Coturnix japonica: one gene and its partners. The protein of the gene in region 3 interacts with the protein of the main gene of each other region in a biochemical or structural test. Links are inferred from orthologs where the notes say so. Each region holds a gene or a part of one and is shown on either strand. Other genes may lie near its edges.

The links.
Region 1: of the proteins of HSPB1 (region 3) and MAPKAPK5, one has a biochemical effect on the other in vitro, tested with the Homo sapiens proteins (4 studies listed by BioGRID and IntAct). The link is inferred for Coturnix japonica from reciprocal best matches to the Homo sapiens genes HSPB1 and MAPKAPK5.
Region 2: of the proteins of HSPB1 (region 3) and MAPKAPK3, one has a biochemical effect on the other in vitro, tested with the Homo sapiens proteins (2 studies listed by BioGRID and IntAct). The link is inferred for Coturnix japonica from reciprocal best matches to the Homo sapiens genes HSPB1 and MAPKAPK3.

The regions. Positions count from the first base shown.
Region 1 is NC_029530.1:5,382,916-5,390,283, forward strand, and holds the start of MAPKAPK5 (MAP kinase-activated protein kinase 5), read left to right. Parts: upstream 1-3,201; 5' UTR 3,202-3,398; coding exon 3,399-3,434; intron 3,435-7,045; coding exon 7,046-7,119; intron 7,120-7,368. Other genes in the region: ALDH2 (aldehyde dehydrogenase, mitochondrial), read left to right, coding at 1-146, 449-613, 745-902, 1,629-1,743, 2,173-2,205. UniProt on the Homo sapiens protein: Tumor suppressor serine/threonine-protein kinase involved in mTORC1 signaling and post-transcriptional regulation. Phosphorylates FOXO3, ERK3/MAPK6, ERK4/MAPK4, HSP27/HSPB1, p53/TP53 and RHEB.
Region 2 is NC_029527.1:1,010,403-1,017,843, forward strand, and holds the start of MAPKAPK3 (MAP kinase-activated protein kinase 3), read left to right. Parts: upstream 1-3,155; 5' UTR 3,156-3,376; intron 3,377-3,529; exon of another isoform or gene 3,530-3,616; intron 3,617-3,639; exon of another isoform or gene 3,640-3,858; intron 3,859-3,997; 5' UTR 3,998-4,089; coding exon 4,090-4,314; intron 4,315-7,441. UniProt on the Homo sapiens protein: Stress-activated serine/threonine-protein kinase involved in cytokines production, endocytosis, cell migration, chromatin remodeling and transcriptional regulation.
Region 3 is NC_029534.1:3,161,347-3,168,470, reverse strand, and holds HSPB1 (heat shock protein beta-1), read left to right. Parts: upstream 1-3,119; 5' UTR 3,120-3,299; coding exon 3,300-3,660; intron 3,661-4,592; coding exon 4,593-4,656; intron 4,657-4,793; coding exon 4,794-4,953; 3' UTR 4,954-5,115; downstream 5,116-7,124. Other genes in the region: SRRM3 (serine/arginine repetitive matrix protein 3), read left to right, coding at 360-573. UniProt on the Homo sapiens protein: Small heat shock protein which functions as a molecular chaperone probably maintaining denatured proteins in a folding-competent state. Plays a role in stress resistance and actin organization.

The DNA of each region.
Region 1 (7,368 bases), on a different chromosome or scaffold from region 3:
TCAACCAAGGGCAGTGCTGCTGTGCAGGATCCCGAACATACGTCCAAGAGGATATATACAATGAGTTCGTGGAGAGGAGTGTTGAGAAGGCCAAGTCCAGAGTGGTTGGAAACCCATTTGACTTTAAAACTGAGCAGGGACCTCAGGTGAGAGCAGGAAATGTCTTGAGCCATTATTACATGAAATAACTCAGTCTCAAGTAACTGTACATCACCAGGTTAGAATCAAAGACCTCCTCCAGCCTCCTCTGAACTGTGCCCATGACCTCCTTGTGCAGGAGGGAGAAGTTAACTAACCATTCTGATTACTCCAACCCCCTGCTTGAAAGTAGCATTTAAAAATGAGGAACAGACAGCACAGCTGCATGCAATGCAGGCTGCAGTTACATCCCTTTTTCTCCCCTGACATATACCAAACTGATCTGCTCATCCTGACGGCTCTTACTTAGGTGGATGAAGAGCAGTTTAAGAAGATCCTTGGTTACATCAATACTGGGAAGCGTGAAGGAGCCAAACTGCTGTGTGGTGGCAACCCTGCTGCAGATCGTGGCTATTTCGTCCAGCCAACCGTCTTTGGTGACGTGCAGGACAACATGACGATTGCCAGAGAGGAGGTGAGGCCTGCAGCACCTGCCTGTCAGTTTCCTCTTGACTTTGTCCTTTTGCACCCCCTGATGCAAGACACTCGTATCTCTCCTGAGATCAATTTACAGTCTTTTTCATGTGATCTGCTTGGGTTTTGCAGATATTTGGGCCTGTCATGCAGATTATGAAGTTCAAGACAATAGAGGAAATAATCGAGAGAGCAAATAACTCCAAGTACGGTCTAGCAGCAGCAGTCTTTACAAAAGATATTGACAAGGCAAACTACGTGTCTCAGGCCCTGCGAGCTGGAACAGTCTGGTAAGCCTTGTCACTTCCTTCTCCTTAAACTGTCGGATGTATGTGCTCTCCTTTCCCATCTAACTTGCTGTTTGAAAGCCTGTGTCTGCTTTGGATCCTCACAGAATGTAATGTCTGACTTTCAACTGCAATGCTGATTTTTGGTAAAACACAAGAGTTATATTAAACTTCTGTTTTCCCACAGTGAATTAGCAGGTGGGATGGAGGGAAAAGAAGTCCAGTTCTGCAGCTGACAACGTCAGCAGCTGCTATAGGGCTCTGATGCCAGCAGTGATCAGATCATCGAGCACATCTCTACAATCTGGGCTGTATTCTGAGGCCATGTTGAAGATTATGCCAAAGTCAGCACTTTGCCACACTTTACTCTTTTAGCACAGGGGATTTTGGAGACCCAGCATCTCACTATTTCATTTATTTAAGTACATTCAGTGAACCTGGTATCATTTATTTTTAATCACACCTCCTTCAGAGCTGTGGGTAGCAACCCAGACACTTGGTTATGTGATGCAAGACGTGAACTAATTTCATGCTGTTCCGTTTCCTGGTCGATGAAGATAAGGTTCCATTACTGCGTAACCCTGTTGACCAAGATAACTAACAAATATGGAAACTGTGCCCAGAAATTCAGCCCTTCCTCTGCTGTAAACAGATAATTGCTGTGAAGGAGCTCTTCCATTACCATACTGGGGTTAACAAGAGGTTTTTAACTCTTGGTTTCCTTTTCAGGGTAAACTGCTATAATGTGTTTGGTGCACAAGCTCCATTTGGTGGCTACAAAGCATCTGGGAATGGGAGAGAGCTGGGAGAATATGGTCTGGAGGCATATCTGGAGGTGAAAAACGTGAGTATTCCTGTATCTGGGTACCTCCCAACACGTGTGAAATAACCACGAACAAAACTCTGTGCAACTCTGTTTAAAACAGAAAGCCAGTTCTGTTTTATACTGCTGAAAAGAACAAGGATATGTGCCCTGACTGACAGGTTACCTGCTGCCTGCACCACTTGGCACAGGGTAGCTGGCCCTCCCTGTAAATAACACAGGTGTGTTGGCTTCTCTGCAAGCTCACCTTGTGCAGACCAGAGAGAGCCTGTGCTGGGGATGCATGTCAGTTTATGTGGGCACATACTTACAGCTGCACTCATCACTCAATTAGGGGAATTCGAGTCTTGAACACCAACTTGTAACGCTGCTCTCCGGGATGCTGCCCTCAAGTGAACAGAACCAAACACAGCCTGCAAGAAAGTAACGTGTGACGTTTGTTTTCTCTAGGTGACAATCAAAATCCCACAGAAGAACTCGTGAAGGACAGCAGTGCTTGGAAACACCTATGCAGCTTCATGAGATACAAAGCAAGAAAACATCTTCCTTCTAACACACAAAACTTAAGCAGCAAACACGCAGCTTTGCATTAAGAAACTATTCTTTACAAAGGGCCTGAAGGAGCTTTTCTTACAAATCTTACCGGGCTTTATCTTTTTAAAATACCAAATACATTTACTTGAGTGCTAACGTGGTACATGGGTGTGCTCCTATCGCATCTGTCGCTGATGAACGTGTTCTTAGCCCCAGCCCCAAGTCATTTAGATGGTTATCAAGCCAGCACTGAGGCTCATAATAGTTCTCAGTGCAGCCTGAGGTGACACCTGAGGGAACAGCTGAGGTGACACCTGAGGGAACACCTGAGGGAACAGCTGAGGGGACACCTGAGGTAATACCTGAGGTAATACCTGAGGGAACACCTGAGGTGACACCTGAGGTACGGGCTGACTCCCAGCTGCCCCCCTCGCTCTCGTTCTGTACCTAAACACTCTGTCTCAGTCCCGCTGCCCCTACCTTCTCTGTAGCACAGTGTAAGCAGCGCCTCGACCACACGTACAATATGGCGCCGCCATCCCTCCCGCTCCTCAGCAGGAGGCGCCAACCGCGCGTCCATCACCTCGCGAGACTTCACCCCGCGCTCTACACGTCACTCGGAGGCGCCCTGACCATGTCAGGTCCCTCGGGGGCTTTGGATGCTCAGTGGCGCTCTCAGGGCTGTCCACCGCCCGCCTGTAAATCGCTGCGCCGCTTTGGCGGAGGATCCTAAAATTCCGCGGTGGGATCTAAGAGTCATCGTTGTGTTCGGAGCAGCCCCTCGCATCGAGTGTGGCGGTAACGAGAGCATCGCTGCGGGCTGTACGGCCCGGCGGGGCTGCCCGGCTCGGAGTGCCGGCGATGTCTGGCTCCCGGGCGGTGGCGGCAGCTCCCGGGTGGCGGCGGCGGCGGCTCCGTGGCTGAGCGGCGGCTTAGTGCCCTTGCTGCCTTCCTTCCTGCGGCGCTGTCCCGGCCCCCTCCGGTCCGGCCGGTTGGGGATGAGGCGCTGCGGCTCGGCCACAAAGGCTCCCCCGGGGCTGCCCGGTGCTTAGCGCGGCCCCGTCCCGCTGCTGCTCCTCCGGTCCTCGGCCCTCGGGCCCGTGGTGGGGACGGGCCGGCGGTTCCCGGAGCCCCGTGGGAGGATGTCGGGGGATCCCGAGATGGATAAAGCGATCAAGGTAAGGAGCGGCGCTCGGCATCACACGCGTTGGACACCGGTGGCCGCTTCTCGGTCATCTCCATCGGTTACCCGGGGTTGGTCGCTGACAGCAGCACCGAGGGATCCCTGAGCCCATCTGCGGGGTTGGGCGGGAGGAACCGAGGGGAACCAGTGGGGAAAGTTTGAAATAGGGCGCTGTAAAAGTTGTGGCTGACCCGCTCAAGGCAATGGAAGGATATTCGGGGTTATGTGGACGATGCCGTGTGTTCTGTGGGTGATGTGCACACAGTCAGTGCAGCTTCTGCTGCAGCCACCACCTCAAAGCACAGAGCTCACACCAACAGGCAGAAGCTCAATCAAACCTGAATGATAAACTAGAATCTGTGGAGCAGAGATCTCAGCAAAACGCCTGAAAGAATCAAAGGATGGTTTGAATTGGAAGAGACCTTTATGCCCCCCAGCCTCACCCCTGCCGTGTGCTGGCTGCCCCCCAGCTCAGGCTGCACAGGGTCCATCCGTGGCCTCAGGCACCTCCATGTCTGGGGCACCCACAGCTCTGGGCTCTCTTCTTTCTGAGTGAAGGATTTTCTCCTGACATCTGACCTAAATCTCCCCTCTTTTACTTTAAACCTATTGCCTCTTGTCCTGCCACTATCTGCCTGTGTAAAAAGTTGATACTCCTGCTTATAAGTTTCCCTCAAGTCCAGGAAGGTCCCTGGAGTGTTCTCTTCTCCAAGATGGGACTGAAGTAAGTTCTGTGTTCAGACAGATGCCTCAAAGCCAAAGTACTTTCCTGATTCTGTTCTTTATCTGAATCCCTCTGAGCTGAGAGGGGCAGGAGCAGAATCAGCGCTGTCCCTACACCCGTACAGCAGCTCTGATATAGATCTTTATATGAAATACTTAAAAACTGTTTTGAGAGTCTCCTGGATAGCTGCTTCAGCTGCACTGTGCTGAGGCTGACAACAAAGCAGGGAGCCAGTATATATCAGCCTTGGTGCTGGAGCTCGTGGTTAGGTTGCAGGCTGATGTCTGAACTCTGGGCTCAGAATTCTTCCCATTTTGTTTTGTTAAAATGCAAAACCCATGTCTTTCAAATCAAACTGATCTCCAGCAGTGAAGAACTGTGTTGGACTTCTCTTGCACTGATTATTTTTCAATAGAATGAATCACAGAATGGCTTGGGTTGGAAAGTACCTTAAAGATAACATAGTTCCACCCTCCTGCTGTGGGCTGATTGCCACCCACTATACCAGGTTCCCAGGACTCGGTCCACCCTGGCCTCGGGCACTTAGAGGAATGGGGCATCCACAGCTTCTCTGTGCCAGAGCCTCACTGCCCTCATGCTGAAGAATTTCTTCCTAATGTCAAACTTAAATCCCTCCTCTGTCAGTTTAAATCTATTGCTCCATGCCCTATCACTGTCAGAGCCCAGTGAACTTTGTAAAGATAAATCCTGCAGTGGCGAGTAATGGAGGAGGTTGAAAATGCCAACACAGGGGGTGTTTTTTGGTAGATCCTTTTGAAATTCATTTGTCTTACTAAAGGAAGCATTTATGAAGCCATCCAGGCTCTGTGACAGATAACACTGTACAAAGAGACTGCAGAGAGTCTTCGGCATGTTGTATTACCACCACTTGATCTCAGCCTGGATCCCTCAGTTCCTTCAGTTCCAGCTGGGCCAGGTCACCCAGGCAGCCCTGGGGCAGCGCTGCTGAAATAGATGTTGGTATTTTCAGAGGGCAGATTTTTATCAGGGTGTTTCAAATATTTCACTCTGTTTGGATGGGATGAGTCAGTGTTGATTTACAGCTCTGTACTGGCTCGCTGCTGGGTTTGGAGCTTCTGTTTCTGTACTAGGAGATGGAAGCAATATTGTGCATTAAGGAGAGTGTTTTTTCATTACTGGATTATTCTTTCTAAGTTATGAAGCTGCTTTTGAATGAAGGTTTGAATCTAAATAAAAATGCAGGGGGGAAAAAAAAAAGTTGGGTTTTTATTTAGAACAACAGTGAATGCCCAGAATGTGCAAGAGGAAATACTGATCTGCAGCCATTGAGTTTGTTCTTCAGGAGCTGAGAACTGCCAGATCTTATTCTCACTTCATCTGATTCTTAGATCACGCGCTGTCCAATTCCCATTCCTCTGCCTTGTTCTCCCGACTCAGCTGAAATGGGGTTTCACTCAATAATGTTCTTCTGAATTTGTGCTTTTGCTTGGGTTGTGATGCCTTTGGTTCTCTGTGTCTGATGGTTCTCTGTGTCTGAGCAGCAGGAAACTGAAGTTGGCTTTTCCCTTATGTGCTTCTCACAAGGTAGTGAAATTTGTGTTAGTTTAATTGATAGAAGCACAAAGAAGCATTGTCTGCTTTGTAAACAATAAAGCACTATAATCCTGTGTTCCTGGGCTTTGCTTTTTCCCCTTCTTTATTTTAAAACCCCACCAGAAATCTCCACTTAAAAACTACCTTTCACTTTTTCCTTTCAAGCTGTCATCCATGATCTATGCAATGTCTACTCCAGGTTACTTTTTCCCTTTATCTCTATCTTTTACACTCTCTAACCCCTCCAGCTCTTGCCTTAAGGATCAGTTTTCCTCTGGCTTTGTTTCTGACCCATGTGGCTTGAGGTTTGTCCGCAGTGTGGTCAGTGGGACCACAAGCTGTGGGTCTGCCTGTGCCTTCAGCAGCGCATCCTCCATTTGTACCATGATTGGATGCTGAAGTTCTGAATGAAAATTAATGTAGGCAGAAAAATCTGACCCCCTCAAAAAAAACTTGCTTCATGTGTGGTTGACTCTTCAATATTTTCCTAAGCATTTCCTTGCTTGTTCAAGCATCTCTGGAGTCAGCTTCTGCTACCACCTCCCTTGCTTGGAGTCGATCAGAAAGCAGAGCTTTTGGGGAGCCAATTCTGAGCACGTGTGTGATTTGTGACCCCAGCATGCACACACCGTTCTGCACCCAGTCTGCATTTTTCAGTGCTCCCATTTGCACCCCACAAACGTTAGGACATGTTTAAACGTGGCCACACCCGGGCTGTGTCATAAAAAAACCCCTGCCCTGGTTGTATGGATTTGGACAAAAGGATTATGAACGTGAGCTTGGTTCACTCTCAGACAAGCTAAAACGAGTCACGCAGCAGTTAATTTGCAGTATAATGATTCCAAAGGTTTGCAAACCTGAAGAAAACAGAAGAATATTTTCCATTACACTGTATGACCAAGAAGGATGTGATAATGCTGTAAATGGGCCTTTGCAATTGATCATTTGTAGGAAGAAAGCTGGATTTAAGGGCTGGGGTGGGGGGAGAAATATCCTTTGTACGCTTTCTGTGGTAGAGCAGCAAGATCCCATTTGCTGCTCTCAATAATCCTGCTTCAGAATGCCAGGGGGAGCAGCCTCAGCAGCACAGAAATCACCTTCTGCTGAGCTCTATTCTGTGAGCATTTGCTCTTAGGTTTAATTTTCCTAGGTGAAGCAGAACTGCAGAACAGGCTCTGTCTGTGCCCTGCTATCTGCAGATCAGCTGCTGAGCTGGGTGTTCGGGAAGGGCTGTAGTAATTTTGGTGGTTTTTGTTGTTGTTGTTGTTTTTCTGCTCTTTCCCCTCCCCCCGCTCCTTCTGGAATAGGAAACCTCCATTTTAGAGGAGTACAACATTAACTGGACTCAGAAGCTGGGAGCTGGGATCAGTGGCCCTGTTAGGTAAGGCAACGCACCTGTGGATCTGCACGTAATCTCAGCTGTGCAGAAGTGAGTATGTATTTTAAGTGTGCAAGGAGCAGAAGGCATGGCGGTGTTGAAGGAGCTAATAAATATCTCTGTGCTCATAGCAGATGTGTGAGCAGGGGATTGTCTGTTGCTGGTTGTGCTGGAGTAAAAATTCTGCTCACTGTTGCCATATTCCTGAAACCAATCAGCCCCAGGGATCAGCTGTGACCCGGTGGCACTGGG
Region 2 (7,441 bases), on a different chromosome or scaffold from region 3:
CCGCAGCGGATCGGACCGGGCCCAGGGCGGCTCCTGCAGCCAGAACGTCCCTCTCAGGCCCGGAGCAGCGCTCATCCCTCCCTCTTCTTGTGGTGCCGGCCCGGCTGCGGGGAGCGGGAGGGTCCGCTCGTACCTAACGGAGCCACTTTGACAACCTCGTGCTGCGCTGCGCCCGGAGCCTTCGGTCTGTGCGTCCCAGCGGCGGAATCGGGCTCCACCTAGCGATATCCTCCATCTGCGGGCTGCCTGCGGGGCAGCGCGGTGTCCCCGTGTTGGGCGGTGGCTTTTCGTTGCCCTCCCCCGAGCGCTCTGCAGCACCGCAGCACCGCAGCACCACCCGCTGGGCTGCGGCTCCTGGGGCTGACGGCCGCCGTTCCATCCCTGCGCTGGGATCTCTGTCGGCGAGAGATTAATTAATTGCGCTCCTCTGCAGCAGAAAATGAAGCGCCATCTCCTGGCCGCAGATGAGAGGATTGATGACGCTTTTGATTCATGATGCTTCTAAGGAAAAACAAAAACGTTTTTGCATTTCTTCTTTCAGCTCAAATGGGAATCATAGAATGGCCTGGGTTGGAAGGGACCTCAAGGATCATCAGGTTCCAACCCTACTGCTGCGGGCAGGACCATGAGCCTCCAGATCTGATATTAGGGCAGGGTGCCCAGGGCCCCATCCAACCTGTCCATATGGTGTCCACATGTCCCTCTGCAGGTGCCCCGTGGCCTCAAACACCCCCATTGAGTGTCTGTAATGCAGATGCTGGCAGTCAGCGCAGCTCTCAGACCCACTGCATCTCCCCATAGCGCTGTGAGGACCCCCAGGCATCAGGGCACAGCATGCTGTAGGATATGGGTGGCCTTGATACAGCATTGGGTTCAGGGCTGGGGTTTGTAACTTATAGAAACCATATTATGACTTCCTCACTTTTCCTTTTTATTTGTTTCTGTTTTATTTTGTTTTGCTTCTTTGGGTCTGAGGCAGACACCTGCAGAGCAGAACTGAAGGACAGATGCGTGGGTCACATTTCAGAGTGCATCACACACCACAGCCCAACCTGGAGCTCACACAGCAGCTTCTGTTTCCTCCTGTGCATCGCTGGAGCGTCCTGCAGAGCTGCCCTTCCTCCCACAGCACAGTTATGCACACACGGCGCTTTCTGAAGAACTTCCTCAGAAATACACAGAGGATGCTGCAGCCTCACAGCTCCGTCCCCACTTCCAGCCTAACAGCACAGAGCACCCTCTGTACAACACACCCGGGGGAAGACTGACACCGATGGCACCCAGGGCAGGAAATGTCTCAGAGGAAAACATCACTCTGCATTTTCACCTGCTGGTGGCATCTTCTTTATTGCATTTAACACTGATTTCCTTGAGACATTGCTGTGTGAGGACCAACCCCAGCCCAATCCCTTTGGTCTGAGATAAACTCAGGTGACTGCAGCATTCGGGTAGGTATCATTGTCCCAACACCAGCCCCGAGGATTTGGTGACCCCAGATTTCCTCACTCTCCACCTGACAGCAAACTGAGATGTTTTGTTTTGCTTCATTTTTGTTGAGAAATGAAGTAGTTCAGTCTGAACTGGCTTTGATACCTGATATCGCTATTACCGAATTGTAGGAAAAAGGCAGCAAAAATCACCTGTTGAGACAACTGAAATTAACCTTAACCACCCAAAGTAACGGTATTTGAGCCATTAAGCTCTCTCTGTGCAGAGCAGGCAGCTGTGATACCCAGGAGCAGCAGCACCAGCTGTGTGCTGGCTGGAGCACCGAGGTGGGTGCTGCCCCACTGCTCAGTGCAAGATTGGGGCCTTGTGATTGGAGATTTTCCCTAATAAACTCTGCTCCTACAGTGGGGCAATGCAGACAAGCTGGGTTACTCAATTCCCTCACAAAATAAGGATGGGTTGGGGGTGGTTTTCGATTTTTTTTTTTGTGTGTGTGTGTGTGTGTGTGTGTGTGTGTGGATGGAACTGCTGAATCCCACCCTGAACCACTGATTGAGCACCTGGGGAAAGGACCCAGTCAGCCCCGGGAGCACAGGTGAAGGCAACTCAGCTGTGTAATGGGAAGGAGTGAAGCCTGGCTGCACCTCTCTTAGACCTCATTTGAGAGCTGATCCCCATTAGGGAAGGATCTTTGGTTGGAGGTTCCTCATCAGTGGAGTCTTTTCTGTGATCTTTGGAGGTGAGTGAGCATGAGCATCTTTACTTTTCCTTTGAAATCCCATTCCATTTACTTAGTCCCTTTACTGTCACACTCCTGTATTGCCTTTCCATTGTGTTAATCCTTCTGATGGCAGCAGTGTGTTGTTGCTGTTGGGTAGTTTTGGTAAAAACAGGATGAATATTTAATGTGCAGATTTAGGGATTTTTATGAGGATGAAAGAACTTAATGCCACAGAGGGCTTTTAGTATGTAACGATACTGTGGTTGTTTTTAACTTCAAAAAGTAAATATCCATAAATAAACAACATTTGCCTTCCAACTGGAAGCTGTCCCAGGCACTGCTAATCCTGGGAGGTGTGGTGGGGGGAGCTGGGATCCTCCTGTTAGGAGGCTCATAGGAGACCTCAGGCATCTCTCTGAAAGGAGGCAGTAATGAGGTGGGGATCGGCCTCTTCTCCCAGGTAACAGTGATGGGACCAGAGGGAACGGCCTCAAGTTGCAACAGTGGAGGTCCCTGTAGGATATTAGGAAGAACATCTGTGCTGAAAGAGCTGTCGGGCACTGGCACAGCTGCCCAGGGAGCTGGGGGAGTCAGCGTCCATGGAGGTGCTCCAGAAGCGTGGGGATGTGGCCCTGAGCTGGGAGGGGGGAGGGATGGACAACGGGACTTGGTGATCCTGCCAACTATAATTCCGGAGTGCTATGCTTCTGTCTGGCACAGCAGTACAATTTGTGCCCGGACAACCTACAAAGCTATGAAACGATCACAGGGAGGAAGGGAATGTATTTGCTTGCTCTGCCTCAGCTGCAGAGTGAGGCTGTTTGGTCCCTGGGCCGGGGCTGGAAAGGCTTCGTCGGAGTTCCAGGTGTGTGCAATTAGCAGCGGGCCTCATCAACCAGCCCCGTACGGCTCATCCGCGGGCGTAGGTCACAGCCCGGTCGGTGGCTCCGTGCTGCCCCGTGCGCCGCTGCGGCCGCTCCTCCGGGCAACAGCCGCACGGTCGCGCTGCGGCACCACCCGCGGCCGTCACGGCAGCCGCTCCTCCCCGCCGCTTCTTTCTCCTATTTCCGTCCCCCTTCCCCCTTATTTTTGTTTTTCTCAGGGATTTTTTTTTTTCACCTTCTTCGTCTCCCATCAGCTCCGGTGACACCGCGGAGCGCTCTGGTGCATTCCCGGGCACCATCGCCGCCTGCTGCCCCCCATCCCGTGAGTGCCTCAGGTCACCCCCACAAAGCACATCCCACCCTCAGCCCCCGTTTTTCCCCCCCGCCCCCGTACCGAGCCGGCCGTGCACCCCGCTGTCCGCCCGCTGTGCTCCCCTCGGGCCGGGCCCCCCCTTTCGTCGCGGGGGGCGGTGCGCACCTGCCCGGGGCGGACCCAGGCAGCGCCCGCCCTCCGGGACTCCGCGCCGGGAAGCGTTGGCCGGGGCCGCGCCGCCACGGGCAGGTAACGTCCTCCGGTGGGGTCCGAACCCCCCCCCCGAGCCGTGTCACCCGGCGGAGCGGGATGAGGGCAGGTGTCGGGCTCGGCGCCCGTCGTGTCTCCCTTTCCCCCGCCCTGCCGAGGGCCGCAGGTGGGGGCTGCCGGCACGGCGCTGGATGCGGGGAGGCCGCCGGGGGTTCTCAGCGCCAAACGAGGCGTCAGCAAACGCTGTGAGCGCGGGGCTCCGCCGAGGACTTTGGTCCCAGGTTTGGCACCGGCGCGTGTTGCGGCGGGGCAGAAAGTTCTGGGTGCGGGCTGAGAGCTCCGAGAGCGCCTCTCTGCTGCTGCGGGGGGCGCAGGGCTGTTCGATCCCGGCGGTGGGCGCTGATCCTCGTGTGTGTCCAGGACTCGATGGCTGGATGAGCGCTGTGTGAGCTGAGCACGGAGCGCACGGGTCGCCTGGAGTGCGTCGCGGTGGCCGCGGGTTGTCGCCTGCTATGGAACGCGATGGAGGAGAGCAGGAATCCCAGCCCGAGAGCCACGTGGAGAGCAGGAGCTGCGTGAAGCCCGTGCCTGGGGGAGCGGCCCACGTCAAGCTAGAGATAAAGAAACACTCCGTCACGGACGACTACAAGCTGTCCAAGCGGGTGCTGGGGTTAGGAATCAACGGCAAAGTACTGGAGTGCTTCCACAAGGAGACGGGGCGCAAGTGTGCTCTGAAGGTATGTGGGCTATTCCCCTTTATCTTGGTGCTTTGGGGTTCACTTAACGCCATGTTACTCTCCTGTTCTGCTGCTGACGTTTTACAAGGGGAGCTGCGTGGTGAGGGATTCCAGCCTGGAGACGCTCACGTTGCTTATGGGATAACAGTCTGCTTGTGAGTCTTTCCCAGAATAATCCATGTGAGCATTGAGGAGAACGTTAGAACGTTACAAGTGGCAAAAGCCTCGTGTTTGTATTTAAGAGACAAAGCGGGGAGGAGAACGTCTGGGTGTGTGCTGTGAGGAAACGTGCTGGATTCTGAATGAGTGTGTTATGCAACAGTGGGGAAGGAAGCTGCCTTGGGTCTCTGCAATTCAATAGGCCTGAGCTGGGAAGGGTTTAGGTGCTCGTTGGTTTTTAGGCTGCCTTCCCTTTGAAGACCTTCTGCAGGGCCCTGCTCGATGTCACAGGTGCCTGACTTTGGAAGGATCGCTCTTGGTGTTGGAAGGAGCGCTTCCACTTCACTCTATTCTCCTCTTTATCTTTGTAATCTGTTTCCAGAAGGGCACCGCCTGGGAGAGCACAGGTAATGGCAGTACTGGCAGGTAGCTGTGAACTGAAAGTGAGTGTTTGTAGTGATAAACACAAGTACACAGACCGTTAACTCAGGAACATTAAACTCACTTGCCTTCTGGCTTCTAACCTCGAGGTTTCCTTGATGATTTTAGACCACGTGGCTCAAAATCCAATGAGAAATAAATGGCCCAAATGCAAAGCACGTTTGTGCTGTACAGCAGGACTGAAAACAGCTGAAGCAAATGTTGTGGGAATGACATGGTGGCATTGCTGAGTTCTTGCTGCAGTTTACCTGATTAGTTAAGGTGCTTGAGGGGTGCATTTGTTTCTTAAGCCTCAATAAACACCTGGTTGCAGCTGGAAGCCAAGGGCTGCATGTGGCCTTACCTCAGTCAGGTTAGAGCTGTAGTTTGGCACAGTCCTTGCTGTGTGGTGGCAGACTGGAAATACTTGGAAACAAAAAAACAACCCAAAATTGGGCAGATAAACTAGAAAAACTTGTCACAAGGTGCTGATTAATGGCTGCATTTCCAATGCTCTCATTTTTTCTTTATCGCTGCTTTTGTGCTCTCTGCACATAACTGACTCACCTGAGTTTATCGTGGAGGGAATGGGAAGTTCTGGCCCATAGAATGGGCAGTGCTGGGGCTTTGCACCTACCTGGGGTTTGTGGCTCTGAGGTGCAATTCTTCACTTAGATCCTTCTGCTGAAGTATTCTGCACCAAGTGAGTGAAATTGAGGTGCTTTCAACATAACTTCCATACCCGGCGTTCTGCACTGAAGGATGGATGAAGGCTTTCAGAGAAGTTTCTCTGTTGTTTCTTGTGAAACCTGGGCAGGGCCATTGCATTCCCCAGCACCAGGTGAGACTTCACAGCACAGCGTCTGGTCACAACGCTTATTATAAATTAAAAAGGGAACTTGGAAAATGTTTTTCTCAGAAGCAACTTGTGTGTGGTTGTGTAGGGATGACAGGGCTGTGGTGCTCTGGCCTTGCTTGTGCCAATGGGTTCGCTGACATCCAGATGCAGGTATGGGAAGTGAAGGCTGCTGCAGCCTGATCTCACAGGTGGAGAGGATGGACAGGCTGTGCTGCAAGTCAAGCAGGAGGGGGGAAAATGTACTGAGTGACTTTCTTTTTTAAGGTTTTTATATATTCCCTGGGGGCTGTTTGTGCAGCATCCATTGGTATCTGTGTTTGAGGAGAGATAGTGCTGGTGAGGAGGAGCTCACTGGAACATGCTCCTGGGAAGAGAATTGCATCGTTTGTGCTGCTGGAGATGGAGTGTGATAGTCTGTTCCCCTTCACACCATGCTTGTCCATTAAAGAAGCTTCTGACTTGGCAGATGGCATTGCTTTCTGCCTGCAGGTTTTCTTTCATGTGGGAACAAAGCCAGCGCAGCCGGGGTCTGGATAGAAATTACTCAATGGAAGGAATTTTAACTGAGGTACTCGAGAGGAAAGGGCTCAAATAGGCAAAAATGCTCCTTCCCAGAGCCATGTGTCAGTCCAGCTCTACACGCTGTAATGGGAGGTCCCTGCTGTCAGCTTTCATCTGTGCCCATAATCAGAGCTAGTTAGAATGCCAGTAATCACTTTAGAGCAGGAAAATTCAGGACAGCCTCTCAGAGATCCTGCAGGGCTGTGGTTGTGTTCTTGAAGCATTCCATGGCTTAGCTGCCTCTGCTCGGCGTTGGGATTTGCTATGTGCTTTTAAAATGTGTTGTCAGCTTTGTTCTGCTGGACTGAAATGCCACATTCATTGCTGTCCTGCTGCGAAAAACCTGAGCTGGTTACCATCACAGGCACAGGGACGTTTTGGATGAGCAGCACTGCTTCCAGAAGGGCAGGAGCATAAACAGAGTGGGTCTGCAGGACCAGAAATGACCTTCCAGAGGGCAGCTGTGTTTTCGTTTCTTCCTTGCAAGTAGAAAACATCAGGTCTCTTTCCATCTCCAATCCAGAAACAGCAGCCAAGTAAAATGCAGTTACCTTTATTTCTGGCTTTTCTTTACCAGCCTTCTCCTTTTTGTTCACTTTACCTTGTGCTGTTACACAGTGTAACCTCCACTACTTTACTTCTGTACCCAATCTGAGTGTTCTGTTCTGTTCCTCCCACTGGGTGAGGGGCAGACCTGAGTGCTGGGCTGCCTGCATGGGTCACTTGCCTTCCCATGAAGATCATCCATCACTTTGTTCTTTCCTGGTTCTGCTCCCTCATTTCTTAATCTTTATTTGTACAAAGTCACGCTGGGCAGTGTCAATTTCAATGCATTTGACCTACCTTATCTTAAAGGAAGGTGGCAGGCAGGGCTCTGACAGAGTTGGCATCAAGAAGGGAGAGATAGAGACTGTTGTGCTGTGTGGCATTGGCGTGTTCTGCATTTGCCCCTTCCAGGGTTTGTTGGATGGTTCAGGATGTGAAACGTGTTGTGTATTGTTGGCATGTTATTCAGCTTCAATAAACAGATGTTGCTGCTTTTCAGGGGAGGAAAAGGGAAGGACTGCCTGGACACAGCAGCAAAGCAAAGATCTTTGGAGCTTCAGGATAACTAAGTACCTTGTTTTG
Region 3 (7,124 bases):
CTTCCGGTTGTGGGGGTGCCCTGCTCTGGATGTCACTGCCCCATAGGAGCCGGTGTGGGTCGAAGCTCGGGCAGCCCGACGCTGGCTAATCCCTAACATCTCTTTTTCAGCAGCTTTCACTCTTTGGTGGCTGGGAAAACACAAAAGCCACATTAACCCGCTCACTTTCTGTCCTCGACGCTGCCTAATCCAGGACTAACATCCGGGGCGGATCAGGGGAGAGGAGGGGGATGTGGGACCGGGCGCTGTCACCCTGCAGCCACCCCAGGCGCATTGAGGTGGAGGCTGGGCTGTTGCCCCCCCATCCCTCCCCTAACCCACACCAGGACTGTGACTCAGTTTCCCTTTTCCCTCTGCAGCGCTCGCAAGCGTCCCATCCCCTACTACCGCCCCAGCCCCTCGTCCTCCAGCTCGCTGAGCACCTACTCGTACAGCCGCAGCCGGAGCCGCAGCTACGACACCTACAGCACCAGCCGCAGCCGGACTCGCAGCCCCCCCAGCCGCTCACGCAGCCCCCCCAGCCGCAGCCCCAGCTACAACAGCCGCAGCAGCTCCGAGAGCGCCGGCTTCTGAGCCCCCCCACCCCAACCAGGAGCCTCCATCCCACCCCAGGAGCAGGGGATTGCCAAGGATGGACCAAGCGGGGGGTGACCCTGAGCCTGGGGGGTATTCGGGGGTTGGGAGATGGGGTGGGGGGTGGCTTATTTATTGGGGGGGCAGGGTGGGCGAGCACAGAGCAAGGGAACAAATCACATCGACATAGCTGGGTGGGGGGGTGCTCCATCCAGCGGTGCTTTTTGGGGTGTTTTGGGACTTTCTGAGCACCTTTCCCCATTCCATGCCTGGCTGGAGGGTGCGGTGCGGCCCCAAAGGAACTGCAGCATCTCACTGACTTGTGTCCCTGTGGCACCCTTGGGGACAGAGGTGACATGGATTATCCTGAGGCCCCAACAGCCCTGGGCACCACAGAGCCACCAATGAACAAAAAGCATTGCTGCATCCCCAGCACGGGGCCATGAGCCCAAGGAGTGGGCTGAGATCCCCCCTGACTCCAGCCAGGGCTTTGCATCTCCTGCCCCTGAAGAACAAATGCTGTCAGGTCTGGATTTGGGGTGAAAAAGGTCTGTTTTGGGATGTGTCTCACAGTGCTTTTGGGGTGGTCCTCACTGAGGTGCCCCCTGCACACCCACATTGCTTTGGGCACATCTGGGTGCGTGGTGTCCCCTCTGAGCACTGGGACCCCATCTGTGTCCCCCTGGCCACATCCTGCTTCAGTTCCTGACCCAGATGGCTTCATGGTGCCACTATCCCCAATAACTGCAGCCCTGTGGGATGGCAGTGGCTCCTCTCCTGGCACCATGGCATGGCAGTGGGCTCATTGGGGCTGGAGCATCCGTGCAGCCCTCCCTGGAGCTTTAATGAGAGATAAAGGATGGGGCCCACGCGCCCGCTTTGCTGACAGCCCCAATTCCACACCATTGTGCTGATTTTCCAAAAGAAAAAAGAGGCCCTTCCTGTGGGCAAACCCCCCGGCCCCGCTGCCGGTGTTTAATCCACATGGACCGTGTGTTTTCCGCCTGGCTGGAGGAGGACGAAGCGCTGAGCCCAGTGGGATGGGAGCACAGCTGCTGGGATTAACCCACAGCGCCGCAATGGGATCAGGGCTTTGTCCCTGCCCTGAGGGCACTGCAGAACTGGGGCATCCCTTTGACTCCAGTAATGCCCCTTTAGTGCTGGTGGGTTGTGGGGCTCTGACCACGGCCAAGCACTTCACGCACCCTGCATTGCCCTCCCCCTGCGCGGGGATGCTCAGTGCATCCTCCAGGGCAGTCCCCATCCCAATCCTAATCCCAATCCCAATCCAATCCCAATCCTAATCCCAATCCCAATCCCTATCCCAATCCCAATCCCAATCCCAATCCCAATCCCAATCCCTGACTCCACTCCAATCTCCATCCCCATTCCAATCCCCCCCATCCCAAACCTGTCCCCATCCCCATCCCACGGCCACAGCTCCCACAGTGACAGAGCCCCGGACAGGACAGCACATCAGGGAAAATTTCCAGTCTTCCTCTTTTACAGTCTCTGTCTCCTGCCGCGGAGGGAGCCAACTGGAACAAAATACTCTGTAGAAATACTTCAGTATTTTCCTCTCTCTCGCGCGCTCCCTTTTTCTGGATTGTGAGTACAGCTGTAGATTCAGTGAGCTGGTTCAATTATAATAAAATATACAGTATATATTGTAAATGATGCTGCGGGGCATGGAGCGGTTTCTTTGCATCCCTCCCTCCCACCCCAGCCCCTGGCAGGATGCAGCCCCGCTCTGCAGCTCGGCTGCTTTGATCCCTTTCCATCCTGTTTCCCAGACAACATGGGGCTCCCCCCCACCCCAGCCCCCAGCAAAGGGTTCAGCAGGTGCTGCTGGGGCTGGGGGGACACCCTGAGCTCCCCCTGATGAAAGATACTTCTCCCATCCTTCCTGTATCCCTGTCTGTGCCAAGCGCCCCACAGGGAGGGCTCTCACATCCCTGCACTGAGCACATCAGGGCTCAGATACATCCATCCCCTGGCTGTGCTGCCTCTTAAAAGCAAAGCCTGCACGCTGCAGGAGCTGGGCAGGAAGGGACAGTCAGCCCAAGGCCAGAGCTCAGCCCTGAACAGTCCCAACAACCAGCATCAGCCCTATCAGTCCCCACTGCCCCCATCAGCCACCCACAGCACCATCAATCCCTACTGGTCTCTACTAAACCCCAGCAGTCCACATCCATTCATGTAATCCCTCACTGACCCCCATCAAGCCCTACAGCCTCCATCAGTCCTCCTGACCTCCATCAGCAACGCTGGGCCTTGCTGACCCCCCCACCAAGCCCTATAGCCCCTATCAGCCCCTCTATCCTCCATCAACCCTACAAACCCAGCTCTAGGACCCCTCACCCTGGGGTGCCACATTTCTGGTGGGCTCCAGAAGCTTCTGGCCTGGCAGTGACGCAGCGGGCGCAGGGCTGAGCTCGGGCTCCTGCTCTGACTCATCCCCCCCAGCACTGCGCATCCCGAGGGCTGTTGACGGGAAGGGGAGGGCAGGCTGGGATCCATCCAGCTCCCATCCATCAGCGCCAAGGAGCAGCGCAGGGCGGGCAGCAGGGCTTGCGGCTGCGCGGGGCTGGAGAAAAGCTTCTGGTCCCTTCCCGGGCCCCGCTGCAATTTCCATTAATAGCCAGCTGCGCCTGAAGGCTAAAAATAACCGTGGGGACGGGTTCATAAGGCCCTACAGCCGCTCCACACCATCAACCCCGCACACCATGGCCGAGCGCCGCGTGCCCTTCACCTTCCTCAGCAGCCCCAGCTGGGAGCCCTTCCGCGACTGGTACCATGGCAGCCGCCTCTTCGACCAGTCCTTTGGGATGCCCCACATCCCCGAGGACTGGTACAAGTGGCCCAGCGGCAGCGCATGGCCTGGATACTTCCGTCTGCTGCCCAGTGAGAGCGCCTTGCTGCCAGCCCCTGGGTCGCCCTATGGCCGCGCATTGAGCCGGCAGCTGAGCAGCGGCATCTCCGAGATCAGGCAGAGCGCCGACAGCTGGAAGGTCACCCTGGATGTCAACCACTTTGCACCCGAAGAGCTGGTGGTGAAGACCAAGGATAACATCGTGGAGATCACCGGTGGGTCTGAGAGATGGGGTGATGGGGGTATGGGGAGGGTGTGGGGGATGTGGGGTGGTTGAGGGGATGTATTTGTGGTGGGGGAATGAGGAGAAAATGGAGCATGGTGGGAAAGGGAAGGAGAAAGAAAGAAAGAGTGAGGGAAAGGTGAAAGGGAAAAGGGAGAAGGGGAAGAAGGAAAAGGAAAAAGGGAAATAGGGATGGAAAAGAAAAGGGAAAGAAAAGGAAGGAAATGGGAGGAGAAAGGGGAAAGGGAAAGGAAAAAGGGAAATAGGGAAGGAAGGGAAAGGAAAAAGAATGGGAGAGGAAAGGAAAAGGGAAAGGGAAAGAGAGGAGAGGAAAAGGGGGAAAAAGGGAAAGGAAAGGTAAGGGGAAAAGGAAGAGAGAAAAGGGGGGGGAAAAAAAGATATAACAAATGATAAGCAAACAGAGAAGGAATAGGGTTACAAGTGCATTCCAGGGATGACTCATGATGTACACAGTGTGCTGGCTGCAGTCCCCAGCCCCACACCGCTATTGTATGCAGCCCACGGTAGGAATGTGATGCGTGCCCCATAGGGACAGAGGTGTCAGCGCCATGGGGCAGAGCCAGGCCCCACAGCACCCTGAGCATCCCTGTGTGCCAGGGAGGGGGCTCAGCAAGGGATGCTGTGAGGAAACACAGACCCCATGGCCCAGGGCCAGCAGTGTGCCCTGCCCAACGGGGAGCTGAAACAAAGGCGTTGGAGATGGGTTGGGTCCACCATCACCGTCTGTTTCCTACCCTTAAATTTAAGGGGTGTTCCTGTAGGGATCCAGGTGTCTCTCATCATTCAAGGCTGCATGTAGGGCAAGCAGGACTGCCCTCAACCCAGTGCTGATGGGGCAGGGAAAGGCAAACCCCAAGTGCGGAGACCCAATGGGTTTAACCTTTTGTGCTTTACTCTTTCCAGGCAAGCACGAGGAGAAACAGGATGAGCACGGCTTCATCTCCAGGTGCTTCACCCGCAAATACACGTAAGTACCAGGGTGGGGAGAGTGGGGACATCCAACCTGCCCATCCCCATCTCACACACACACTGGGGTTGTCATTGGCCCCAATGGGGGACGCATAGAAATTAGGGGATTTTCTGACCTCTCCCCTCTCCCCGCAGTCTCCCTCCTGGTGTGGAAGCCACAGCCGTGCGGTCCTCACTGTCCCCTGATGGGATGCTGACAGTGGAGGCCCCGCTGCCCAAGCCGGCCATCCAGTCATCCGAGATCACCATCCCTGTCACCGTCGAGGCCAAGAAGGAAGAACCAGCCAAGAAGTAGGAGGAGGCCCCGCTGCTGTCCCCGACACACACCCCGCACGCCTGCCCCCAGCTCCCACCCCCTTTGTATTTTTTACTTGGTACTCACCCATCACCCAGTGCCTTGAATAAACTTGGAGGAAAAGAGAAAATTGATGGGAATAAAAGTGATAGAAGAAACCTGCCCCGTGTCTGCTGGCCACATCCTACAGCCTATATGCCAAGTTTCACATCCCACACCCCACATCTGGACATGCCAGATCTCTAAAGTCATAGGATTATAGAATCGTGGGTTATCCTGTGTTGGAAGGGACCCATAAAACCCACTGAGTCCAACTGCTGGTTGCACACAGGGCCATGTCCCTGCTTTAACACCCTGGGTGTCAGCACTGTGGGTCTCCAGCATCCCAAGGTCAATGTCCTGGTCTTTCATGTCCTGAGAATCTGACATTTTGGGTCTCCAGGGTCCTGGGTCTCAACATTACACTACTCTACATTACTCCATTTGAGGTCACAACATACTGGATCTCCAACATGCTCCCAGGATCCAGAGTCCCCAGATTTCCAGATCTCCCATCTCCCAGATCTCAGCATCCCATTTCTCCTCCATCCCAGGTCCCTGAACTCCCAGATCTCGTCACTTTCAGTCTCAATATCTCATCATTCCTCCTCTCCAAAGCTCTGAGTGTCACCACCCCAGCTCTCAACATCCCATATATCCAACCTGCTGTATATCCCCATCCTGGTGTCAGCACCCCAGGTCTCTACATCCCATAAAACAGCCCCCCCCCCCCCCCCCCTGCAGCTCACAGGGAAGCTTGGGCAGAAGCTCAGGAGGTCAAAGCCCCCCACCCCACCCAGCAGCATGCCCCCATTCCTGATTCCTTCTGGGATGTGCAGCCTCCACCCCACTGTGCCCCCTCCCTTCACCCCATTGGGATGAATTGGATGGATGGGGCTTTGCTCACCTCCAACCCCAGCTCAGGAGCTGGGCACAGTGTCATGCTCCCCACACCCCTCCTGTGTCCCCCACACCTCCATGCAAGGTTCAGGGCTGGCCCTACATGGCCAGGCTACCAGCGGCCGCGTTCCTGCTCCTACAAATCCCCCTAATCCCCCCTGAGTCATCCCGGAGGCAGGCAGTGACCGGGGAGGAATCCTACAGCCATAGGGCTCCTCTATCAGCCCAGCCCCCCCAGAGCACTGGGACATCCCCCCCCCCAGGGTATGCGTGTGACATTATGGGATGGGTGGCCAAGGCAACCGGAGTGATGGAGATGGTTGCCATAGCGAGAGCAGCACCAGCCCTAGGGATCAGCAACGAGCATCTTGTCTTCCTGCATTGGTGGGGAACAAATACACGTCACCCAGTGCAGCACCACACCTGGGGGTGGCACCGTGTGCTGTCCCAGCCCCAAGCACCGTTATCACCACGGCAGCACTGTGCCATGCCCCAGGGCTGGGCACAGGTGGGGAGGCAGCAGCACAACCCCACTGTGTGTGAGTCAATACCCACTTTGGGTGTATGGTTTCTAAGGGAGGGGATTATTTTTACAGGGTGAGTCAGAGCACACCGTGCTGAGTGGAAAAAGCTGCCAGGAGGCAGGGACAGAGCATGGCCATGAACCAGGCACAGACTGTCCCCATGAGTTCCTCAGCCCTGGTCACACATCGGTCAAACCCTGGGCCAGGGGAAAGGACAGCACAAGGTCCCCAAGGCCAAGGGTGGGAAGGGGACAGTAATGGTTGGGGATGCCAACAGTTGGGAAGGTGATACCAGCATTGGTTGGGAAGGGACACCAAGCATTGGGAAGGGGATGTCAGTGTGGGGTGGGAAGAAGTGGATGCCAACAGCTGGGAAGGGACATCAGGAAGTCCCCAAGACCAAGGGTGGGAATGGGATGCCAAGGTTGGGGACATCAGGAGGTCCCCAAGACTAAGGGAGGGAAAGGGACACCACCAAGGGTTGGGGATGCCAACAATTGGGAAGGGGATACCAGCATTGGCTGGGAAGGAATGGGACACCGAGTATTAGGGACACCTACATGGGTTAGGAAGAAGTGGATGCCAATGGTTGGGAAGGGATGTCAGGAAGTCCCCAAGGCCAAGGGTATGAATGGGAAGTCAAGGTTGAGGACACCAGGAGGTCCCCAAGGCCAAGGGTGGGAAGGGGAAAACAATGTTTGGGGATGC